Callithrix jacchus: one gene and its partners. The protein of the gene in region 2 purifies or fractionates together with the protein of the main gene of each other region. This does not show direct contact. Links are inferred from orthologs where the notes say so. Each region holds a gene or a part of one and is shown on either strand. Other genes may lie near its edges. The genes, in order: TARDBP, G3BP1, YBX1, FXR1, MKI67, TRIM21 and FXR2.

Evidence for each region.
Region 1: the proteins of G3BP1 (region 2) and TARDBP purify together in Homo sapiens (affinity purification with mass spectrometry; 3 studies listed by BioGRID, with this or other methods). This does not show direct contact. The link is inferred for Callithrix jacchus from reciprocal best matches to the Homo sapiens genes G3BP1 and TARDBP.
Region 3: the proteins of G3BP1 (region 2) and YBX1 purify together in Homo sapiens (affinity purification with mass spectrometry; 3 studies listed by BioGRID and IntAct, with this or other methods). This does not show direct contact. The link is inferred for Callithrix jacchus from reciprocal best matches to the Homo sapiens genes G3BP1 and YBX1.
Region 4: the proteins of G3BP1 (region 2) and FXR1 purify together in Homo sapiens (affinity purification with mass spectrometry; 3 studies listed by BioGRID and IntAct, with this or other methods). This does not show direct contact. The link is inferred for Callithrix jacchus from reciprocal best matches to the Homo sapiens genes G3BP1 and FXR1.
Region 5: the proteins of G3BP1 (region 2) and MKI67 purify together in Homo sapiens (affinity purification with mass spectrometry; 3 studies listed by BioGRID and IntAct, with this or other methods). This does not show direct contact. The link is inferred for Callithrix jacchus from reciprocal best matches to the Homo sapiens genes G3BP1 and MKI67.
Region 6: the proteins of G3BP1 (region 2) and TRIM21 purify together in Homo sapiens (affinity purification with mass spectrometry; 3 studies listed by BioGRID, with this or other methods). This does not show direct contact. The link is inferred for Callithrix jacchus from reciprocal best matches to the Homo sapiens genes G3BP1 and TRIM21.
Region 7: the proteins of G3BP1 (region 2) and FXR2 purify together in Homo sapiens (affinity purification with mass spectrometry; 3 studies listed by BioGRID and IntAct, with this or other methods). This does not show direct contact. The link is inferred for Callithrix jacchus from reciprocal best matches to the Homo sapiens genes G3BP1 and FXR2.

The regions. Positions count from the first base shown.
Region 1 is NC_133508.1:48,894,193-48,897,692, reverse strand, and holds part of TARDBP (TAR DNA-binding protein 43), read right to left. Parts: intron 2,298-3,500; coding exon 2,127-2,297; intron 808-2,126; coding exon 277-807; 3' UTR 1-276. UniProt on the Homo sapiens protein: RNA-binding protein that is involved in various steps of RNA biogenesis and processing.
Region 2 is NC_133503.1:50,740,861-50,743,627, reverse strand, and holds the end of G3BP1 (ras GTPase-activating protein-binding protein 1), read right to left. Parts: intron 1,947-2,767; coding exon 1,740-1,946; 3' UTR 501-1,739; downstream 1-500. UniProt on the Homo sapiens protein: Protein involved in various processes, such as stress granule formation and innate immunity. Plays an essential role in stress granule formation.
Region 3 is NC_133508.1:79,348,634-79,351,596, reverse strand, and holds the end of YBX1 (Y-box-binding protein 1), read right to left. Parts: intron 2,545-2,963; coding exon 2,310-2,544; 3' UTR 2,279-2,309; intron 869-2,278; 3' UTR 501-868; downstream 1-500. UniProt on the Homo sapiens protein: DNA- and RNA-binding protein involved in various processes, such as translational repression, RNA stabilization, mRNA splicing, DNA repair and transcription regulation.
Region 4 is NC_133516.1:9,219,982-9,223,481, forward strand, and holds part of FXR1 (RNA-binding protein FXR1), read left to right. Parts: intron 1-51; coding exon 52-259; intron 260-3,500. UniProt on the Homo sapiens protein: mRNA-binding protein that acts as a regulator of mRNAs translation and/or stability, and which is required for various processes, such as neurogenesis, muscle development and spermatogenesis.
Region 5 is NC_133513.1:121,424,362-121,428,557, reverse strand, and holds the start of MKI67 (proliferation marker protein Ki-67), read left to right. Parts: upstream 1-1,396; 5' UTR 1,397-1,675; intron 1,676-2,031; 5' UTR 2,032-2,117; coding exon 2,118-2,209; exon of another isoform or gene 2,210-3,457; intron 3,458-4,196. UniProt on the Homo sapiens protein: Protein that associates with the surface of mitotic chromosomes and acts both as a chromosome repellent during early mitosis and chromosome attractant during late mitosis.
Region 6 is NC_133511.1:69,716,676-69,720,658, reverse strand, and holds the start of TRIM21 (E3 ubiquitin-protein ligase TRIM21), read left to right. Parts: upstream 1-1,183; 5' UTR 1,184-1,253; intron 1,254-3,561; 5' UTR 3,562-3,638; intron 3,639-3,983. UniProt on the Homo sapiens protein: E3 ubiquitin-protein ligase whose activity is dependent on E2 enzymes, UBE2D1, UBE2D2, UBE2E1 and UBE2E2.
Region 7 is NC_133506.1:74,085,407-74,087,676, reverse strand, and holds the end of FXR2 (RNA-binding protein FXR2), read left to right. Parts: intron 1-55; coding exon 56-151; intron 152-339; coding exon 340-440; intron 441-1,076; coding exon 1,077-1,172; 3' UTR 1,173-1,770; downstream 1,771-2,270. UniProt on the Homo sapiens protein: mRNA-binding protein that acts as a regulator of mRNAs translation and/or stability, and which is required for adult hippocampal neurogenesis. Specifically binds to AU-rich elements (AREs) in the 3'-UTR of target mRNAs.

The DNA of each region.
Region 1 (3,500 bases), on a different chromosome or scaffold from region 2:
TTTTGATATCAATTGTAGTGTGTTGGTTTACCAATCAGGCAAACAACAGTTCACTTTCAACCACTCAATATTTCAACCTTTCATGTAACAAAACTTAGAAAATTCCTTTAGCTCTTCCTTTTTTAAAAGAAAAACGTCAAAAATACTGCTGAATATACTCCACACTGAACAAACCAATTTTGAAAATTCTTAGTACATGTATTTTACAATATACTTACCAGTGAGTTTAGAAAAATCTGAATTCCCACCATTCTATACCAACCAACCACAAACTGTCTACATTCCCCAGCCAGAAGACTTAGAATCCATGCTTGAGCCAAAGCCTCCATTAAAACCACTACCCGACCCTGCATTTGATGCTGATCCCCAACCAATTGCTGCACCAGAATTAGAACCACTATAAGAGTTATTTCCAGAACCAAAGGCCTGGTTTGGCTCCCTCTGCATGTTGCCTTGGCTTTGGTTATTACCCGATGGGCCTGACTGGTTCTGCTGGCTGGCTAACATGCCCATCATACCCCAACTGCTCTGTAGCGCTGCCTGGGCTGCAGCCATCATGGCTGGATTAATGCTGAATGCGCCAAAGTTCATCCCACCACCCATATTACTACCTTGATTGTTTCCCAAACCAGCTCCACCCCCTCTACTATTACCAAATCCACCCTGATTCCCAAAGCCACCTGGATTACCACCAAATCTTCCACTTCTTTCTAACTGTCTATTGCTATTGTGCTTAGGTTCGGCATTGGATATGTGAACGCTGATTCCTTTAATGATCAAGTCCTCGCCACAAAGAGATTGCGCAATCTACAAGAAATAAGGGATGTAAACAAATAAGATTAAACCACTGATTTATACATCAAAGTAGCAACAAAACTTAGATTACAAGCATTAACTAAAGCCAGAGGAAAAATAAGCAATGAATGCTCATTTTGTTTAACCCCACAATACAGCTTTAGTTTTAGTAATAGCAGCAGTGATATTTCAGTCTATTTTCAAAAGACATAGGCTCGGCATGGTGGCTCATGCCTGTAATCCTAGTGCTTTGGGAGGCCAAGGTGGGAGGACTGTGTGAAGCCAAGAGTTTAAGACTCGTCTGACAGCCTGGGCAACACAGTGAGACCCCACCTCTATTAAAGACAAAAACCCTGCAAAAAAACCACACTAGCTGGGCATGGTGGCATGCACCTGTTCTAGCTACTTGGGAGGCTGAAGTTGGAGGATTCTCTTCCTGGAGGCTGAGCCCAGGAGTTCTAGGGTGCAGTGAGCTCTGATTACACCACTGCATTCCACCAGCCTAGGCAACAGAGTGAGACCCTGTATAAAAAAAAAAAAAGGGTGTGTGTGGGGGCTCTCACCTGTAATCCCAGCACTTTGGGAGGCTGAGGCAGGCGGATCACCTGAGGTTAGGAGTTCAAACCAGCCAGATCAAAATGGTGAAACTCCATCTCTGGGCGTGGTGGTACATGCCGTTAATCCCAGCTACTTAGAAGGGTGAGGCAGGAAAATCACTTGAACCCAGGAGGCAGAGGTTACAGTGAGCTGAGATCACACCACTGCACTCTAGCCTGGGCAACAAGAGCAAAACTCTGTCTCAAAAAAAAAATATTTAACATTCCCAAATGCCATATACTGAAAATTATCTAAAGGTTGATTTACTTTTAGAAATTTCTTAAAAATGTTGTATTTGTAGCCGGGCATGGTGGCTCACATCAGTAATGCCAGCATTTTGGGAGGCCAGGGAGGGTGGATCACTAGGCCAGGAGTTCAAAGACCAGCCTGACCAATATGGTGAAACCCCACCTGTACTAAAAACACAAAAATTAGCCAGGCATGGTGATGTACATCTATAGTCCCAGCTACTCAGGAGGCTGAGGCAGGAGAATTGCTTGAACCTGGGAGGCGGAGACTGCAGTAAGAGAAGTGCCACTGCACTCCAGCCTAGGCAACAGAGCAAGACTCCATCTCAAAAAACAAAAAAGTTGGGGCGGGGGGAACATCTAGGCCCATACACTCTACATCTTATAAGGTGAAAAAACTTAGCTAAGAACAGCAATTAGCTGGATGGGAAATGTTCAAGAGAAATTACCTAATTACCTGGCCCATATTGTTAAGGAGAAAAATACCTGATCATCTGCAAATGTTACAAAGGCAAAGGCCCTGAACGGCTTGGGGATGAAGACATCCATCACCTCCCCGTACTGGGAGAAGAACTGCCGCAGCTCGTCCTCAGTCATGTCCTCTGTACAGCGCCCCACAAACACTTTTCTGCTTCTCAAAGGCTCATCTGCACTTTGCTGGTCAAATCAAAAGGAAGGAAAAAACTCAAATATAAACAATGAAAAAAGCATTAAGGTAAGGGATATAACAAAATCTTTCTGCCTTGGATAGTAGTGAGTTATTAAAAAGGGACATACTCTTAATTTTTTTGCATCAACATTTCTTTTTCTTGTAAGGCTTCAATAAAGAGTAACATTTTAAGTTACAAACGTACACAGTCATGCATCACATAATGATGGAAATATGTTCTGAGAAATGAATCATGAGTCGTTATACCATTTCATCACTGTGGCCAGGTGTGGTGGCTCATGCCTGTAATCCCAGAACTTTGAGAGTGAGGTGGGTAGATCACCTAAGGTTATGAGTTCAAGACCAACCCCACCTAGTCAACATGGCAAAACCCCATCTCTACTAACAATACAAAAATTAGCTGGGTGTGGTGTCGGGCGCCTTTACGTAATCCCAGTGACTTGGGAAGTTGTGGCAGGAGAATCGCTTGAACCTGGGCAGGGGAGGTTGCAGTGAACTGAGACTGCACCATTACACTCCAGCCTGGGCAACAACTCCATCTCAAAAAAATTAAAAAAAATAAAAATAAAAACTTCATCATTGTGCAAACATCATATAAAACCAGATAGCTTCTACATTGCTGATAGCCATTACTGGAGATAAAGAAAAAGAAAAAAGAAAGAAAGCCAGATAGCATAGCCACCCCACATCTAGGCTGGATGGTATAGCCTACTGCGCCTAGGCCACAAACTTCCAAGTTACTATACTCAACACTGCAGGCAACTGTAACCCCATAGTAAGTACGTGTATATCTAAACATGGAAAGGGGACAGTAAAAACAGTGTTATAATCTTACGGGACCTCTACTGTACACTTGGTCCACTGCTGACTGATGAATTTTGCAATGTGATGCATGACTGTATTTGGATTTGAGAAAATCAATAAATGACCAATCTCCTGGCAAAGATGATGATGTGCCAAATAAGCAGATGTTACTTGTTTGCTTGGACAAAGTTAGATTTTATAACAAGATTAATATATATATATATATTCTGATTGTCTTCATGTTTTAACATATAACTATGTAAGGAAACTTAACTTGACAAATAACCTTTTCTCTTTCACATCCATAACAAAAAGAACAAAATGAACAAAGCTTTAGTTTGAAGAAGTAATAAACTAAATATCTGCAACAAGCATAAAATATTCAG
Region 2 (2,767 bases):
ATAAGCTACAAAAGTACAAGTTGTATTTCTTCCTATTATCACTGATCTGGGTCAAAGTGGTTACCAAAGTTACTTAAACTAACCCTCCAGAAAAGCCATGTGATTCAGTTATGTTTATGTAAAGGAGATGCTGCCAATTTTCAAATATTTGAGGAAGTGGAACCAAACTAGTAACACCAACTTCACTGTAGTCTTAACTGACCCCTTCACAGCAAACCTAGAGTTTCTCAGTCTTAACTGACCCCTTCAGAGCAAACCTAGAGTTTCTCAATAATGCAAATATTCCTATACTATCCTCAAATGACAGTCCTCAAGATGAATACTGTTAAGAAAATAAATAAGTGACTTTGACAACCTGGTTGCCCTTCAATTAGTAATGACAAGTAATCACACAAAGGCTTGCTTCACACTTGTAAACAAAATCTTCACCCATCTCACACACAGCACTCAACAAACAACACATATGTGAAACGAGTATTAGTCTATATTGCCAGATTAAATTTTCTTCCAGAAATATTTTAATAAAAATTGGCCATTTCCAAGAAACACCCACTGCATGCCCATCAATAAGAGAACCATAACAAAATAGAAAATTTACACGAGCACATCAGCAAAGTCCAATATTAAAGTCACATTCCTTCTTATGGGCTATGATTAGGAATCTGATTAGATACCAAAATAAAACTTAATACAAATGCTGAACTACTTAGGCCAAAGAACCTCTATAGAAGCATCTGTCTTCAAAGGCATTCCAGTTTGAGACTCAATTTTAGAATAAGGCATAACAAATAGGTTAACAGAAGACATGTAAGTTGATGAAAGAGGGATTCTACAATTCCCCACATACTCTGAACCTAATAATAAACAAATCTAGATTTTTTTTTTAATTATTTTTCTTTAAACAACTGCCAAGACTGAAATCAAAGATAAATAGAAGGCACAACAGTTTTGCTCTGGTTGTTATCTGGATTTGGGGAATTTTTTTGTTTTTTGTTTTTTTTACAAATACAAATTAAACATGAAAAAAAACTCTATTTCAAAAAAACTAAGTTCATGAAAAGCCTATCAGCTGCATTCTAGACATTTAAAACCTATATATCACAATTTAAATTTCAGTGGTAAAAACAGTAGGTTTTAGAATTGTTTTGTGATCCTCTATCAAAAGAAAATTCTATTCCTTTTAAACATACCAGTGAGAATCAAAACTGTCAAATTTTCCAATGGCAATTTCTCCACACCAGAAAGAAGCCATGACTCTCAAAGAAGAAACAATTTGGGTTTTTCCTGCCTTCAAAATGTTATCAAATCCTGTTTGTCTCACAGGCTTTTGAAACTTGTAGAAAATAAGAAATATTCCAATGAATGAAACATACCAAATGTCAGTAATATGCAAGACACATTCCTTTGGGGAAATGGCTGTTAAAAAAAAAAAAAAAGTCCAGTCTGCATATGCAAAGTAAGCAAGGAAATTCAGTCCTTTTCTTTTTTTCTTCTTTAAAAATCTGTTACTCCTAAAATATCATTCCACAAAATTGGAAGTGAAAGACTAAAGGGCAGGAAAGGGAAGAGAAGGAGAGAGGGATCACACACCATTAACACACAAAAAAAGTAAAATTATACAAACTTATGCAGTTTATAACAGACTGGGGTCATACTCCAAGATACCAAAGGCTGGTCGAAGAAATTCACCATTCTGTAGGAACTAGGGTTCGTATGGCTCCGTGAAGATACATGAAGATTCACTGCCGTGGAGCAAGCCCCCTTCCCACTCCAAATCCTGGTTTCTGCACCATGCCTCCACGGGGAGGGCCTCTCATTCCACCACCCAGCCCACCTCGAGGGCCTCCAGGTCCCCGAAGGCGATTATCTCGTCGGTCCCCCTCCCTGGCAGCTCGAGTCTTCTTCTCTTCCACGTTCAGACGAACCTCACCTCTGAACATGATGGGCTGTAAGAATCAAGGTGACCAGACTTAGAGTACTGATAAGCTGGCTATGACAACAGAGGATTAAAAAAGCTATAAAAAAAACAAAACAAAACAGCAGCGGTCAGGGGCGGTGGCTCACGCCTGTAAATCTCAGCATTTGGGAAGGCCAAGGTGGGAGGATCACGAGGTCAGGAGTTTGAGACTAGCCTGACCAACATGATGAAACCCTGTCTCTACTAAAAAAATACAAAAATTAGCCAGGCATGGTGGCACATGTCTGTATTCCCAGCTACCCAGGAGGCTAAGGCAGGAGAATTGCTTGAACCCAGGAGGTGGAGGTTGCAGCGAGCTGAGATCGCACCACTGCACTCCAGCCTGGGCAACAGAGCGAGACTCCGTCTCCTTAAAAAAAAAAAAAAAGAACCAGCAGATTATACATCAACTGAGTTCTCACAGTTCCGCTTTGTTTGTTTTTTTTAATGAGATGAAGTTTTGCCTATCACCCAGGCTGAAGTGAGCAAGATCTCCGCTCACTACAACTTCCACCTCCCGGGTTCAAACACTTCTCCCTGCCCCAGCCTCCCAAGTACTTGTTTTCTCATAGAATTACGTAAATTGAATAAAGAATTGCCACCTTCTCCACAGATGGTGGAGGCCTAGAATAAAACTGCATCATCACCAATGTGAAAAGATGGCACTGCACATATTTATGCAAAGTACATATACATTTCAAATAAAACCTTCATTGATTTGACAAACTTTAACTTGCTGTTCACCTTCTAAGAATTTCGAATAGTCTTGGTCTTCTTTTCCTCCTAACAGAGCCAATGCAGTTAACAGGC
Region 3 (2,963 bases), on a different chromosome or scaffold from region 2:
ACCTCCATGTTCTTAAGCAGCTTTCCCATGGGTTTTTGTATTATTTATTCCCATTTCTAGGACATAAGGAGCTGAACCAGTATTTGGTGACCACATCAGGCCCTGTAACAGGTTCTCTGAACACTTTAAGTTGGCATCTTCAATTGGCATATTGAAATAAATTCTCCCTAGGTGACAAAACTAAGTGGAGAAGGATCAGAATCTGGCCAGTCTAGACTAGAGCATCCCTTGTAAGCACTGCCACACAGCCAAAGGAACCCACACAAAATCTACACCACAAAGTCTTCCTTAAAAATGGCCAGGTTATCAGAATATGTATTTTCTAATTTTCAGTATGAACCCACAGGCATGCCACTTAAAAGGATTAGAGATTTTAAAGACATTTTACCTGAGGGAATTACCAGTGAGCATCATCTATTTGTAGACTGGGCTAAGGGTCTTATAAATACCTAAGAACTTATAAACTAAAGCAAAACTAGACAGAAATTTACACAAAGACAATTATTTAAGACCTTTATTAACAGGTGCTTGCAGTTTGTTGACTTTTTTGAAAAAATCAAGTTGTAAACTTTTATTACAAATTAAAAATGAAGTTCTTAAAAATCTCAACTTGACCAGATATGAAACAATTTAAAAACCTTTAAAGGCGTATTGAGAAAAACCAGGCTTTTTTAAAAAACACGTTTGTTATTACCAAAAAGAGACATCTTTAGGTAAAAATAATAAAAACCCCATGCTGCATAGATAATGCAGATAGTTCTATTTATCTGGTCAACAGGCAAAAGCAAGCACTTAAGGTCTTCAGCTCCAATCTTTTGTTCATTTCTTATTGCTGGAATTTCTTATTTCTTCTTGTTGGATGACTAAACTGTAAAGAAAAAAAACAAAGATGATCATGTAGAATTCATGGTAATCTTCATTTAATGTAGTACATACTCTAGTTTACATTACTTATATATTGGGAGACATTAACAGATCTTTTGCCACCTAGCAAATCATCTCTGGTTGAATGCTAATTTCGGAGGGAACGACAATCATACACCTCTCAGTATCATGCAAAAAGCTGAATGAAAATGAATCCCTTAATTTTGAAATTTAAGGTTAACAAAAACAAGTGAGCTGGTAACAAGAACGTAAATGTATCATGTGGTCTGCCAGAGCATTATTATTATTAACCTACAGTTTGAATAAACCAACAAAAAACAACTACAGATGATTACAGTGGCTCATGCCTGTAGTCCCAGCACTGGGAGGCCGAGATGGGTGGATTACCTGAGGTCAGGAGTTCAAGACCAGCCTGACCAACATGGAGAAACCCCATCTCTAGTAAAAATACAAAAAATGGGCCGGGTGCGGTGGCTCACGCCGCACTTTGAGAGGCCGAGGTGGATCACGAGGTCAAGAGATCGAGACCATCCTGGTCAACAAGGTGAAACCCCGTCTCTACTAAAAATACAAAACATTAGCTGGGCATGGTGGCGCATGCCTGTAGTCCCAGCTACTTGGGAGTCTGAGGCAGGAGAATTGCTTGAACCCAGAAGGCGGAGGTTGCGGTGAGCCGAGATTGTGCCATTGCACTCCAGTCTGGGTGACAACAGCGAAACTCCGACTCAAAAAAAAAAAAAAAAAAAAAAAAAAAAAATACAAAAAATACAAAAAATTAGCTGGGCGTGGTGGCTTATGCCTGTCACCCCAGCTACTCAGACAACTGAGGCAGGAGAATCACTTGAACCCAGGAGGCGGAGGTTGCAGTGAGCTGAGATCACACCATTGCATTCCTGCCTGGACAAGAGTGAAACTCCAGTCTCAAAAAAAAAAAAAAAAAGATTTTATCCATGTTGCCACTTTACCCAAACAGACTCTGTCACTGTATAGGTTCATTCTAATAGCTATACTACTTCTTTTATTAAATAATGCATAAATAACAATGTTAATTAACTTTTCTCAGAATACAGCTAGGGAAACTTTTCTCAGCTTACTGGTCAAATCACAAAGTTCAGAAAAGTTGATAGAAAGCTCCAATAGTTCAAAAAACTCATGAAAATACAGGTCTCCAGTGTCAGAATTGAGAACTAGCTGAGGGGTGGCCAAATATGATTCTGATACTCAATACTCCTAAAATGAAATATTTAGGTAATTAAGAATAGGGCAGAACACAATGTAAATAACATGGCTTTCGTTATCTGATAGAATTGAGTTTTCCCCACTCTTGCATTAATAAAATGAAATGGACACCATTCATGACTGCCATAAATGGTGGCCATCCAGGGTTGCTTACCCGGATGATGGTAGAGATGGTAAGCCGGCATTTACTCAGCCCCGCCCTGCTCAGCCTCGGGAGCGGACGAATTCTCAGCTGGTGGATCGGCTGCTTTTGTCTCTTTGCCATCTTGTGGTTTAGGGTTTTCTGGGCGTCTGCGTCGGTAATTGAAGTTGCGGCGGTACCGACGTTGAGGTGGCTGCTGACCTTGGGTCTCATCTCCTTGATTTTCTTTATCCTCTTCATTGCCGTCCTCTCTAGGCTGTCTTTGGCGAGGAGGGCCCCTGCAATAAATGTTGTCAAACTTAAGAATGATAAAACCTCTTCTCTTCAACACACCCACCAGCAGTGTTACCATTTGGTTCACTCAACTAATTCATCATGCCTAGCCTGTTCTCTGTATCAAGTGGCCTGTAGGCAATTTGTGTAAGGAGATGGGAGTATAAACTGGAAGATGACTTTTAAAAACTGGTTTTAATGGACTAGCAAACTTTTTTGTTCATAGCATTACAGAATGAATCCTGAAATAGCTAATAGTAGGCAAATGCCATCAACATTTTGCTGTCATTCTAAAAGATCAAAATGGGCTAAGTGGTAAACAAATTTGTAAACAGTATAACCTTTACAGATGAACAATTCCTAAAAAGGCATGTGTTTAAAATCCAGCCTGTTCAAAACCAAACATGTTCCCTTCATAAAAGTA
Region 4 (3,500 bases), on a different chromosome or scaffold from region 2:
GCTTTAAGAAGACAAAAAGTCACGTTCAACTCTTTTTTGTTTTGATTGTAGGAAGTAGAACAGCTAAGAATGGAACGCCTACAGATTGATGAACAGCTACGACAGATTGGTATGGGTTTCAGACCTTCTTCCACCAGAGGGCCTGAAAAAGAGAAAGGATATGCCACTGATGAAAGTACCGTCTCTTCTGTACAAGGTTCTAGGTCTTATAGTGGAAGAGGCAGAGGTCGTCGGGGCCCTAATTACACCTCCGGTTATGGTAAAAAAAACCTTTTTTTGTTTTGTTTTATTTCTTTTTTTGGTAATAGTAGTAGTAGTAATAGTAGTTATAGTTTAGGTGCTCTAACACATTTTCTTATAATTCATTACTCTATCTTGGCTTTGAGGGTAGAAGGTAGTTCTGGAGGTTTAGTACATTTCTTAGTAAAGTGGTGATGGTATACATTAAAATGACAGTAAAATACATAAAATTTCCAAGTAGTTATGTAATGAAGCAAAGTATGTTTTTAAGTTGGTAGTTCATAATTATGTTTATTATAAATATTTAGAAAGAATACGTATGTAACTTGGTTTTCAAATATTTTGCTAGTATAGTTTTATACCTTTCCAAGTAAATACCTAGTAATGGTGGTGATACTTTTAGGAATCATCTTTGTCTACCCTCTTAAAATAAAAAATGAAAAGTATGTGAATCAGTGCCAAGGTTGCATATAGCAAGTCTTTACTAGCTTTTAAAAAATACTTTATTGACTCATTTGGTATGTTTCAATATATTAACATCTCGTATTTGGAATTATTTTGTATAATAACATTTTACTAAAATGAAGGCTTTAAAAGCCAGAATCTAATTTAATACTTTATAAATGAACATTTTCTAAAATGTATTTCACTGTGAGGATTGGGTCGTTATAACCCAAGTAGGAAGAGGACAGTGGAGTGGTGATAGTCTACAATTCTCTAATCCTCAATTCTCCCTTATTCTTCTTCAGCTTTGGAGTTGTTCCGTTTTTCTCCATTCGGACTTGGATCTTAGCAGTGCCTGATTTGTTTTTTGCCTTCACCCATTTTCTTTTCTCTTTTCCGTTCCTTTTCTTCACTCTTGTACTTACTTTCTTTTGAGGAAATACTTTATAAATCCTTTTTAAAAATGTAAGGCATTTAAGGAAAATAGCGATAAATGCAAATTTCGTGATTAATTGAAGGATAATCTAATACTGTAAAAATTACAGTGAGCTTGAACTATCTTTCATTTGTTGTAGAGTTGTAAGTTGGTGTCCCTTTCTGTTAATATCGTATTTTTATATTCTCATTTTCTTACATATATATTTTTATTTAATGCTGTATTGAAACGTAAAAAGCAAAATTCTAATAAAGAAATGGTCAGCATATAAGGGACCGAAAATTGCAAACTATTACTATATTCCTGAAAATATATTTAATGCAAAACACGGTTAACCAGTAATCACACAGAAATTATATTTTCATTGATTTTTGAAGCATACATATTATTAGCATAATTAGATTTGGCTTATTGGATGATGAATATGATGAATTCATTGAAGAATTTTATTAGCCTCTGGGAATTCTGCTTATTGATGAGAGCTTACTCTGGCAAAATGCTTTTGTTGAGATTAGATAATGAATTTATATGAGAGGTAGAAAAACATCATCTGGATTTAAGAAAGCTATGCAAATTCTTCAGTAGATGGCACTCTTAGCTCTGAATCATTGCAGAATTAATACCATTTTATTTCTTGAAATAGTTATTTAACCTGAGTGGGCTTGAAAAAACATTTGAATGTGGTTGTAGATGTTCATGTATACTTTATATCAGAGGGACTTTTAGGTGATTTATATATATATATATATATATATATATATGTAATATAACGAGTACTATAGTTCATCAGTTTAATAGGAACTGTTAAAAACATTTCCCAGTGTAACATCTCTGAAGTTGTTATGTCTGTTAAATTGGACATCTTACAACTTTAATTAGCAGTATTTTCTCTTTTTTAATGGCATGTAAAATAATATCTTAGAATTGATGTCATCTTGGATTTGATAAAATGTGATTATTTTTTAGCTGTTAAGCCTAGCACAAAAAACAATTGAAATTGATGTATACCATCTCATGATAAGGTGAATTTAGAAGTTTGAGGTGAAAATATGATATTAAAATTGATTAAAAACACGATGTCATGGAGACATTTAAAATTAAATTAGTGTCGTTACTTTTAAACTTGTTTAAAAAGACTTTGAATCACCAACTTGTATTTTATAAAATTGAGGGATTAGAATAAATGGTTTCACTGGTTTCCTTATTCACTTTAATTGCAGTAATAAATTACCACAAACTTGTAGGCTTGAACCACAGACATTTATTGCCTTATATAGTTCTCTGTTGGTCAGAAGGCTGAGATGGGTTTCACTAGGCTAAAGTCCTGTCAGCTGGGGTACATTCATTTCTGGAAGGTCTGGGCAGAGATTTCCCTTTTCTGAAGTTGAGAAAGTTTCTCTACTTTGAAGGAGCCAGTGAGATTAGTTTGAACCCACCTGGATAGTCCAGGATAATTTCTCTCTTTCACGGTCTTTAACCCTAGTCACATTTGCAGAGTCCTTTTTGCTATCCCAGAAACATTTAATATGAGTTATTAAGAGTTTTTAATAATCTTGATCAGTAGCCAATTCATTAAAACTTTGGGGGTGGTTTGGCCTTAATTAACAGTTAACTGTTGAAATCTATTATTTAGACATTTCTTCTGAGTATCTTGAATTCTATATATAGGTTAAATTTAAGGAAGACTTTCTTTGCTGTGACACTGGGTTAGATAAATAGTAGACTAGATTTCTAAGGTTACTTGAATAGGAATTTTTGAGAGAATCTTCAAAATTAAGTATTCTTGATTTGCCCTGAATTTTGGTAATGTTTTCAGGTAGGGTATAGGTTTGTAAATAAATTCAGAAGTTCTTAAACATTCCAAAGGTTTTTTTCACTCTTCAAGGAAAGATAAATTGCCTTCATTGCAACTTCTATGTTAATAAAGTGCTTTTTGTCATTTGGAGAAATAAATGTTAGGGGAGATAAAGTCCCTTTCCTGAGATTGTATTTCCCAACAAAGAATTGAGAGTGAATAATAGAAACTTGATGTATTCAAGTTGACATTTTATTCCCTGCACCTTAATACTTAAAACTTTTTATGTCTGAAGAGCTCTTGTTTGCATTTTTTCTCAAATGATTGTGGAGCTTAAATATAGGGAACTTCAAGGTGTTTCATGAAATCACTCTTGTCTGAGAGTTTAGCAAATGAACTTCAAAATAATGCAGTAGATTTTTTGCTTGGAAAATTGTTACACACTTTGCTAGGCATTTGAGGACTTATAAGATGGAGTACTACCCTGTATCGTAGACGAATTTTGAAGTAATTCCCAAGGGGAGGAAAATAACACAGCACAGTCTATGATAGATACGGGGTGATTTTAGGATAACAAAAAATGGG
Region 5 (4,196 bases), on a different chromosome or scaffold from region 2:
ACAACAGCAAAATGAAAACAGTGCATTACTTCACATTTTTGTAAATCTCTGTAATACCTGGTTGAATAGGAGACAGCGGGAGTCTCCTCACTGCTTCTGCATTTGTGGAATGCACCCCATACTCTTGGGAGCAAGAGAATGAGAAGGGCAAGTAACACTGAGGGTCATTACCGACATGGTTTTGATCTCATGGACTGCCCTGAAAGGAATAGGAAACCCTCAGGGGCCCCTCCACACAGTGAGGACCTCTGCTCCCGATCAAGAGAGCCAAGCTCCAAGGCTTGTTGAGGAGCTGGAGGAGGTGAGATGTGGGGGTGGGGTTGTCACCAGAAGCTTGTTTGGGCTCCATTCACTTCACCCCAGGTGGCCCACCAGCACAACAGAGGCAGACCCCATAGAATCCTGTGTATAATTATTTTAGGGTTCACCCATCTTGGCATGCACAAGGCATTTCAATCGAAGAATGTTTTCTAATAACAAAACATTGTAAACCTAAATATGTGGCAATAGTGAGGATTAAGTACATTGTGGTTTCCTGAAGCCCAGTGCTCTGCAGCCACGAAACGAGAGTAAAATCGAGAATGTGCTCAGTGGAGACAGCCTCAGGATAGTTAAAAGCAGAGAACACAAAAGTCTAGAACGGCGTGTATGTTATGATCTTTTTTCTATGCTTTTGAAAAAAGAGAATACACGTATAGCTGGAAAAGACACACGAAACTACTTTATATAATGGGTTGTATTTGTTAAGATGTATGGAAGGAAGAGGGAGGTTTTATTTTTTAATTTTTGTATTTAATTTTTTCATTGTTATTATTTTTTGAGACAGGGCTTTTGCTCTGTCGTCCAGGCTGGAGTGCAGTGGCGCGATGTCAGCTCACTGCAGCCTCGACCGCCCGGACTCAAGCGATCCTCCCTCCTCAGCTCTCCCAGTGGCTAGAACTACAGGCTCCACCACGCCCGGCTAATTTTTTGTAGAGACGGTTCTCTCGGCCCAGGCTGGTTCTGAACTCCCGAGCTCAAAAATCCTCCTGCTTCACCGCGCCCGGCCTGAGGTTTTTTAATATTTGAGAGTTTTACATCTTCTGGCCATGGGCAACGTTATAGTGTCCCAGGTGTTGGGTCCTTTAAGACAAGGGTGGCCGGACGGGCCGTCCCGGGGGCCGGGCTCGGTCTCAGCCCTCCGCAGGCCGCCCTCTCCCGGGCTGCACCGGGTCTTCTCCTGCGGACTAGGGCGCCAGCCCCGCCCCGGAGCCCCGTTTCCCCGCCCCCCGCCCCGCCCACGTCCTCGCGGCCTTCCTATTGGTCCCGCGCCGCGCTTTCCCGTTCAATCGTAGCGCTTAGCGCCAGAATTTGAATCTCCGTTTTCGTTTGAATTGGGCGGGCGCGCGGGGCTGGCGGAAGGAAGCTCCGGGCTGGCGGGACGACTCGGTGGCACCCGCTAGGATCGGGCGTCGGGGGACGCCGCCTGTAGGGACACCGGGTCCCCGTCGGGGCAGCGGCTGGAGCAGCGGGGGCTGCGGGCCGGGGCGGAGCGAGCGCGGCCCGGGGTGTGCGGCAAGTGGCGGGCGCCGCGGCCGGGCCGAGGTGAGCGCGTCGCCCGCTCCCCCTGCGGCGGACTTTGGGTGCGACTGGAGCGGTGGTTCGACAGGCGGCCTTGCGGGCCGGATCGTCCCAGGTGAGCTGCGGCCGGGACTCCTGGGAACCGTCCGGAGTCGGGGGCTGAGTCGCGGGGACCGCCGATCCCCACCCCGAGCTCTGCGGGGACGCGCAGCCTGGGCTCGCTCCTCCTGGGCTCTGGCGAGGGCGTCCCTGTGGAAACTCCCGGGAGGCGCCGGCGACAGCACCCCGGCCGCGGGACTTGCTGGGGGCGCCGGGGGCTGCGGTCGGACCGTGCCGGGGTCCCCGCTGGCCAGCTACGCTGTGCGCCTGTGCGGCCGGAGGTGGGCGCACGGGGCGCGCGGCCCTGGTGGGTCGCTCGCGGGTCCCTTCTCAGCTCCTTTGCTCTCACGGTAATCCGCGCCTCTCTTGCAGGGAGGAGTTGTGAGCCTGCTTCTGGGCAGACCTATTGGTACCTGGCCTTCCTCCGCGGGTTATATACCCAACTTAGCGTTTAGAAAATGGGGCCCACGAGACGCATCGTTACTATCAAAAGGAGCGGGGTCGACGGTCCCCACTTTCCCCTGAGCCTCAGCACCTGCTTGTTCGGAAGGTGAGTCCCGCGGGCGCGCGCGGACGTTTTTGGCCGAGAAAGGAAAATGGCTTTATCACAGTACGTGGCCCCGGAACGTGCTCTGCCATCGGGTCCTGCGGTCGCATTTCCTTGGTGCTTCTTCCATGTTACTGAGTTGACAGAGCTGTGTTTTGTTGGTTTTGCCAAGTAGACATTTGATGCTAGTGTTCGTATATTTAAGTGGTTTTAGAAATCAAGCCAATTGAAAAACTGGGTTTTCTAACCGCGATAAAGAAAGATGTAGATGGTCTTCATACCTCACTGGCTTCAGGCGGGCGTCAGAAGACACTGTGTGCCCCTGGGACCCTCGGTAGTGGGCATCCCTGGCCACATGGGACACTGAGAGAATGAAGGCTCTTGGCTCTTTTGGGCGATAGGAAAACGGGACAGAAAGTCTTCCTGCCTGGCATTTGAGAACCTTTCCTCTTACGTTGCTGTCCCGTTTGAATAACCCTGTTCCTGTATAACAAACAGGCACTGTTGCTAACAGTGCCCCTGTCAGCCTCTGACATATGTCCCACTAGAGGCCCGAGAAGGGGTCACTCCCTATGTGGTCTGGGTCCTGACTCCTATCCTCGCCTCACCCCATCCTCCAGACCCCATCCCCTACCTTGTTCCTCCCACCTAAGGCATTCCAAGCCCTGTTCACCTTGGTACTTTTTACACACTTGGAAGTTTATCATGGGAAAGTTCTCCCTTTCCCCAACCTTGTGTGATTTCCATCATTCAGGCATCAGGTTAAATATCGCCTCTGAAGAAGCCTTGCATGAAAGCTTGTATTTCCAACCCCATGGCTTCAGGGGTAAGTTGTGGGGTTTTGTCTCCCACTAGACTGAGCTCCCCAAAGAAAAGGACTATCTTGTTACTAATCATGTGTGCAGGGCCAGGGATGGTGCCTGGTATAGGGGATCTCTGCTTAGCATTCTGGCAAGGGTCAGTAGAAACACGGGCTAGCGCCACGGATTTGCGATCACTTGATAGCAGTGGTTCTCACAGGAGGGTTATCTTACCTTCCACAAGTCATTTGCTAAAATCTGGAGAATTTCCATGTCACAATACAGGGGAGGGGAGCATGTGCTGTCATCACGGAGGAGGGGTCAGGGTGGGGATCCTACCAGGCTCAGGGCAGCCCCCACAATACAGAAGCATCTGACCCAAGATGTCAGCAGTGCCATGGCTCAGAAACACTCATCTACAGGCGTCTTCCTCCTAGACAAATTCTCAGTTGTAAGGGATAGTCTCTCCGTTGCTCAGATGTTCTGTTACCTTAAAATCAAATTATCTTATTGGGGTTAAAGAAGCTTTTCACTTTTCATAGATACCTTTCTTTTGAAAAGGAAAAATATAAACATTTCATTTTAGGTGGCAGTTCCTTTGCTTTTTTACAGTAGTACTTGAATATATTTTCACACAAGATTTTGTAATTTAGAAACTAATTCGCGTTTGGTCACATAACATGGGTAGGAAGAGGTATTGTTAGACTCTAAAGGAGAACAGACAGGCCTTGCACACTTTGTTCAATTTTTATTTTTATTTTTATATTTTTTGTTTGTTTTGGAGACAGAGTCTTGCTCTGTCACCCAGGCTGGAGTGCAATGGCATGATCTATGCTCACTGCAACCTCTACTTCCCAGGTTCAAGCAATTCTTGTGCCTTAGCCTTCTGAGTGGTTAGGATTCAGGCGTGAGCCACTATGCCTGGCTAATTTTTGTATTTTTAGTAGAGACAGGGTTTCACCATGTTGGCCAGGTTGGTCTTGAACTCCCGACCCCAGATGATCCACCTCCTCGGCCTCCCAAACTGCTGGGATTACAGGCGTGAGCCACCGTGCCTGGCCCCAGTTTGTTCACATTTTTAAGATCACAGGTTAGAACAGGAATGCCGAAGACTCCAGGAACCTAATGGTTCTTCGGATTATTAGTTTGTGCAGGTTTGGGAATTGTCTCTTCTGCTGCTTTGCCAAAGC
Region 6 (3,983 bases), on a different chromosome or scaffold from region 2:
GTGGTACACATACACAATGGAGTACTGATTAGCCATAAAAAGGAGAACCTTTCATTTGCTACAACATGGATGAAAAATAGGGGTCATTATGTTAAATAAAATAAACCAAACACAGGCAAACAACCAATTGTACATTCTCACTAATAAGTGGAGCTAAAAATTAGAACAATTGAACTCATGAAGATAGCAGAATGATGGTTACCAAAAGCTGGGAAGGGTAGCCAGGAGTGTGTAGGGGGGTGATTAATGGGTTCAAAATACATGAGATAGAATGAATAAGATCTAGTATTTTATAGCATAACAGGGTGACTACAGACAATTTATCATACATTTTAAAATAATTAAAAAACATATAATTGGATTGTTTGTAACACAAAGAAGTGATAAATTCTTGAGGTGATGGATACCCCCACTTACCCTGATGTGATTATTACAGACCGTATGCTATACCTGTGCATCAAAATATCTCATGTAGCCCATAAATACATACATCTACCACAGACACAGAAAATTTAAAATTTAAAACAAAATTACTTGGGTAAATTTTATATTCTGTGTATTTAACGATTAAAAATTAATATAACCTGAGAATGTCCCTAGCTCGGTGATAAGAACATAGTTGGTTATCAGATGTCAATTCCCTTCTCACCACTCACTGGTGGGATACTTACCTCGGGGTCATGCGAAATAAATCACTCACCTGCAGATGTTAAAAAAATAATAGTCACATCAGTCACATGAAAAGAATTAGCTTCTGGAAGTAAGAAACAGATGACGGCACGTGAGGGAGAGCACCAGCCACTATTCTCTGCATCCAACCCTCCTTAAAAGCAGCTTCCAGACATGGGCAAAGCATCTAGGTGTGGGGTGATAACCAGTGTCAAAGAAAGCAGCCCGGACTCCCCCATCTTGCAGATATTTTACTAAATCAGATAATGAAGACATGGGAGGGGGTGCGCACCCAGGACCACAGGCTACTGGGCTTCCATTACTTCCCAGTCTCATAGAAGCCCCCTGGCTGTCCAGAGCCTCTGAAGCCCCCCGCCAGCCCAACTCTGACTTCTCTCCTCCCACCTCTCTTCCTTCTCAGCGGCATTTCTCCACACACCCTTTCAAGGCTCCGCTCCTCCCACGGCTCCTCCCTCTCTCCTCTCACGGCTCCTCCTCCCTCCCCTTTCCCGTCAGACTTGCCTCTGAGCGGAAACTGAAAGTGAAATAGGGAGCTGGCTACCCGCGTTGAGTCCCCTGTAAAGGTGAGTGAACCTCACTAAATCAAGGAACCCCTGCCCTCCTAGTGGACCTCTCCCCTGCCCCAGGGCTGCAGAGCCCCTTCCAACCAGTCTCCATCCTTGAGCCGGTCCCATTTGCCCCTTCTCCCACCGGGGATCCCTCAATCCAAGCCCCTCTGTGCTTCCGAGGCTGGTCTCCTAACCTGGAAGGAGGCTGGGGTATGGACATGACTGCTGCGGAGTTACCCAGAAGGGGTAGGGTTCCGGGCACTTGGGAGGAGACTGGGGTGTGGGACGTGACTGCGGAGTTACCCAGAAGGGGAAGGGTTCCGGCTGCCCCCTACTTGGGAGGAGGCTGGGGTGTGGACGTGACTATGGAGTTACCCAGAAAGAGAAGGGGCCTGGCTGCCCCATTGCTGGCACCTGAGCTGGGATGAGAGCTGGGTGCAGCTGAGAGAGCCAGCACTACTGCCTAGCCAGGAGCGTGGGGGAGATCTGCAATCCTGGAGACTCCCAGGTCCAAAAGTCCTCCAGAGGTGAGGGGCAGGCTGCTTAGGATGTTCAACCAGAAATGTATAGGCCTTCAAAATTACTCTTTGTCATAGAAGAAGTGATGTCAGGAACTAAACTAAGTTTGGAGCAGCTGAAAGAAGAGCCCAGGGAGTGCTGGCCACAGTTCCTGTTGCTCTGTGTGAATACATTCACATATACATGCTCATGTACATACATATACACCTGACTTTTGCCAATATTGGAATGATTAATGAAGATGTATTCAAAGCATGTGTAGTATCTCTGGCACATGGAAGGTACATGGTTAAAAGTAGCTATTTTATGACTAGTTTCTCAGCAACATGGAGGCCTGCTGGTACCAGAAAGAAGATGAATGGGCACTGAGGGTTTAAGCAGGAATGGACATGAGAGAACTGTCAGCTTTATGAGGTTCTTGCCAATTTTCACTCCCTCCTTTAGGGACTCAGTTTCTCCTTCTGTCCCAGTGGATCAATGGGCCAAACAGTGGAGGAGTTCTTGTTATTCAGAAGAATAAACTTATTAAACAAACTATTTGGTCCATGCAAAAGTAATACTGTTTTTGCCATTAATTATTTTTCCATTAATATTATGCCCTTTTTTTTTTTTTTTTGGAGATGGAGTCTCCCTCTGTTGCCTGTGCTGGAGTGCAGTGGCACCAACTCAGCTCACTGCAACCTCCACCTCCCAGGTTCAAGCAATTCTCCTGCCTCAGCCTCCTGAGTAGCTGGGATTACAGGCACCCACTACCACTCCCAACTATTTTTTGTATTTTTAGTAGAGACAGAGTTTCACCATGTTGGTCAGGCTGGTCTCAAACTCCTGACCTCAGGTGATCCACCCACCTCGACCTCCCAGAGTGCTGGGATTACAGGCGTGAGCCACCATTTTTATTTTTTTATTTTCCGTTTCATCATTTTGTTTTTCTTTTTTTAGTTTTAATTTTTCTGGGCATGTAGTAGGTATATTTATGGGCTACATGGAACATTTTGATACAGGTATACAGAGCCACCATTTTTATTTTTTTATTTTCCTTTGCATCATTTTGTTTTTCTTTCTCTAGTTTTAATTTTTCTGGGCACATAGTAGGTATATTTATAGGCTACATGGAATATTTTGATATAAGTATACAATGTGTAATAACCACATCAGGATAAATGGGGCATCTAGCACCTTAAGCATTGATCATCTGTGATAAACTATGCAATTATACTCTTTCAAATGTACAATTAAATTATTGACTATCGCCACCTGTTATGCTATCAAATACTAGATCTAATTCACTCCATTTTTGTACCCATTAACCATCCTACTTTTCCCCCAACACATCCTCCCTACTATTCTTCCCAGCCTCTGGTAACCATCTTTCTATTATCTAACTCCATGAGTTCAATTGTTTTGATTTTTAGCGCCTACAAATGAGAACATACAATGTTTGTCTTTCTGTGCCTGGCTTATTCCACTTAATGTAGTGACCTCCAGTTCCATTCATGTTGTTGTAAATGACAGGATCTCATATTTTATGGCTGAATAGTACTCCATTTTGTATATGTACCACATTTTATTTATCTATGTATCTGTTGATGGACACTTAGGTTGCCACCAAATCTTGGCTATTGTGAAACATACTGCAATAAACATGAGTGTGCAGATATCACTTTGATACAGTGATTTCCTTTCTTAGGGGTATATACCTAGCAGTGGGATTGCTGGATCATATGGTAACTCTATTTTCAGTTTTTTGAAGAACCTCCAAACTGTTCTCTGTAGTGATCGTACTAATTTACATTTCCACCAACAGCTTATGAGGGTTCCCTTTTCTCCACACCCTCACCAGCATTTGTTATAGCCTGTTGGATAAAAGACATTTTAACTGAGGTGAGATATCTCATTGTAGTTTTGATTTGCATTTTACTGATAATCAGTGATGTTGAGCAACTGTTCATATGCCTGTTTGTCATTTGTATGTCTTTTGAGAAATGTCTATTCAGATCTTTTGTCCATTTTTGAACCAGATTATTACATTTTTTTCCTATAGAGTTGTTTGAGCTCCTTACATATTCTGATTATTAATCCCTTGTCAAATGGATAGTTTGCAAATATTTACTCCCATTCTGTGGGTTGTCTCTTCACTTTGTGGATTATTTTCTTTGCTGTGCAGCAGGTTTTCAATTTGATGTGATCCTATTTGTCCAATTTTGCTTCGGTTGCCTATGCTTGTGG
Region 7 (2,270 bases), on a different chromosome or scaffold from region 2:
AAGAATTGAGGGTGGGAGGTTGGATGTGTGACTCTGGTTTTTCCCTACCCTACAGAAGACGAATCAAGACCCCAACGTCGTAATCGCAGCCGCCGCCGCCGTAACCGTGGTAATCGGACTGATGGTTCTATCAGTGGAGACCGCCAACCAGGTCAGCCAACTTTGGACACCAGAATTCTTCCTCAGAGCTGAGAGAATGGGATACTTCCTACCCTGTGAAAATCAGGGGTTCGGGTTCAGTGGGTATCTTGGGCTGGCTACCAGAATTCCATCTTTTTTTTTTCTTTTGTAATTTTCATGGCAAACTATCTCAAAGTCTTAATGTCCTGCCTTCCCTAGTGACTGTGGCTGACTATATCTCACGAGCAGAGTCTCAGAGCCGCCAGCGGCCACCCCTGGAACGCACTAAACCCTCAGAGGACTCTCTTTCAGGACAGAAGGTAGGCAGGCAAGATGTGGTTTACTCTATCATTTTTTTTTATTATTATGGGGCAGGGGGTGCACAAAATTTCACAAAGAAATTTACCGAGGCTGGGGGTGGTGGCTCACGCCTGTAATCACAGCACTTTGGGAGGCTGAGGCGGGTGGATCACCTGAGGGTGTGAGTTCGAGATCAGCCTGACCAACATGGAGAAACCCTGTCTCTACTAAAAAATACTAAATTAGCTGGGTGTGGTGGTGCATGGCTATAATCCCAGCTACTTGGGAGGATGAGGCAGGAAAATGGCTTGAACCAGGGAGGCAGTGGGTGCTGTGAGCTGAGATTGCGCCATTGCACTCCAGCCTGGACAACAAGAGCGAAACTCTGTCTCAAAAGAAAAAAGAAATCTGTTACTGAATTGCAGAGGCAGTTGTGTCTGATGGAGTTTAGAATAGTGTCAACTTCGAATGGGATAGAGAGGATTATGTAGTTCACATTTTCTGGATCCCAAGTAAGAGAGACTGGATCATGGGATCAAGGAACCAACCTCTGGATCACCAGATGCCAGGAGTGCTTGGATGGTAGGAAATGTCCCTCACCTGAGTTTCTGCTCACCGTGTGCTTGATTTTGTTTTCTTTCCCACTTGCTTCTCAGGGTGACTCTGTCAGCAAGCTTCCTAAGGGCCCCTCGGAGAATGGGGAGCTCTCTGCCCCCTTGGAGTTGGGTAGTATGGTGAATGGGGTTTCATAAAACCTCCAGCCTGCATCCCTCCCTTCTCCATCTCGCTTGCTGCCCAACACCATGGCCCTCACAGGCCCAACTGACCTGCGCTGGAGCTGCTCTTATCTAGGGGGGAGGGGGGTGGCACAGCAGCTTGGGTACCCCCCAACCTCCAGGAGCTAGTGGAGGGGTGTGTAACAGGGTCATACCCCCTCCCTCTTGTCCACCCTACCCCCAGGGTAAGGGGAGCCTCTCTCCCCCATCAGACTGGATGTGCCTTTATCCTCTAATGCCCCAATCTCTCTCTGAACACCCCCATTCTCCACCTGTTGGTGGGGGGGTGCTCCTTGACCCACCCAGATTTGACCGTTCAGGGGGCCTCCCCTGCTATCCCTCCTCCCATCCTGTACCCCCCATTTCTGGGGCCTCATCACTGTGGAAGACGGGGATAGTAAGAGATAAGTGGGTGGGAGGCACGGGGAAGGTTTTGGAGTAGAACCAGGGGTGTATATGAAGGGGGGTGACAAGGTCCCCAGGGGGAGGGGACCGACCTTGTCTGGTGGATGAGAAGGCGTATTTATTTTTCACTGTACAGTATTTAAAAAGAGAATAAAAAAATCCAAATGGCTCTGTGGCTCCTGTGCCGCCTTTGTCCCCAGTTTGGTCCATCTGTTTCTTTAGGACTGACCTGCCCTAGCCCCTGGCTCATTTTCTTTTCCTCCATACCTGATTTCTCATTGTCTCTTGTCCCAAAGATGGTCTGTCTTCTGGGAATTTCTGACATTCTTAAACTCCCCAGGTCCAGGTACTCGCTCCTGGTCCAGAGGGGAGGGGGTCTTGTGCCTTATTGCTTCTCTCCTCCCCCAAGTTTGCTGGTAGAGGGAGTTGGGCCACTCCTATACCCTGAGTCATGGCACAGGCTAGGCAGGGCTGCTCAGAGCTGGAGCTGTTCCTGCTAGAAGCTGGGAGCCAAGGCAGGCTGCTTAATCCGATTACCTGAAGCCTGGGGCTTGGGCTGGGCCTTGGCAAGAGGGGAGCAGGGTTCCCTCACAGCAGCCTCTGAAAGCCTGGTGTCCAGCCTTCTTTCCTTGCTGGTGTTCTGATCTGGCTCTAAGCTTTTTCTCCAGC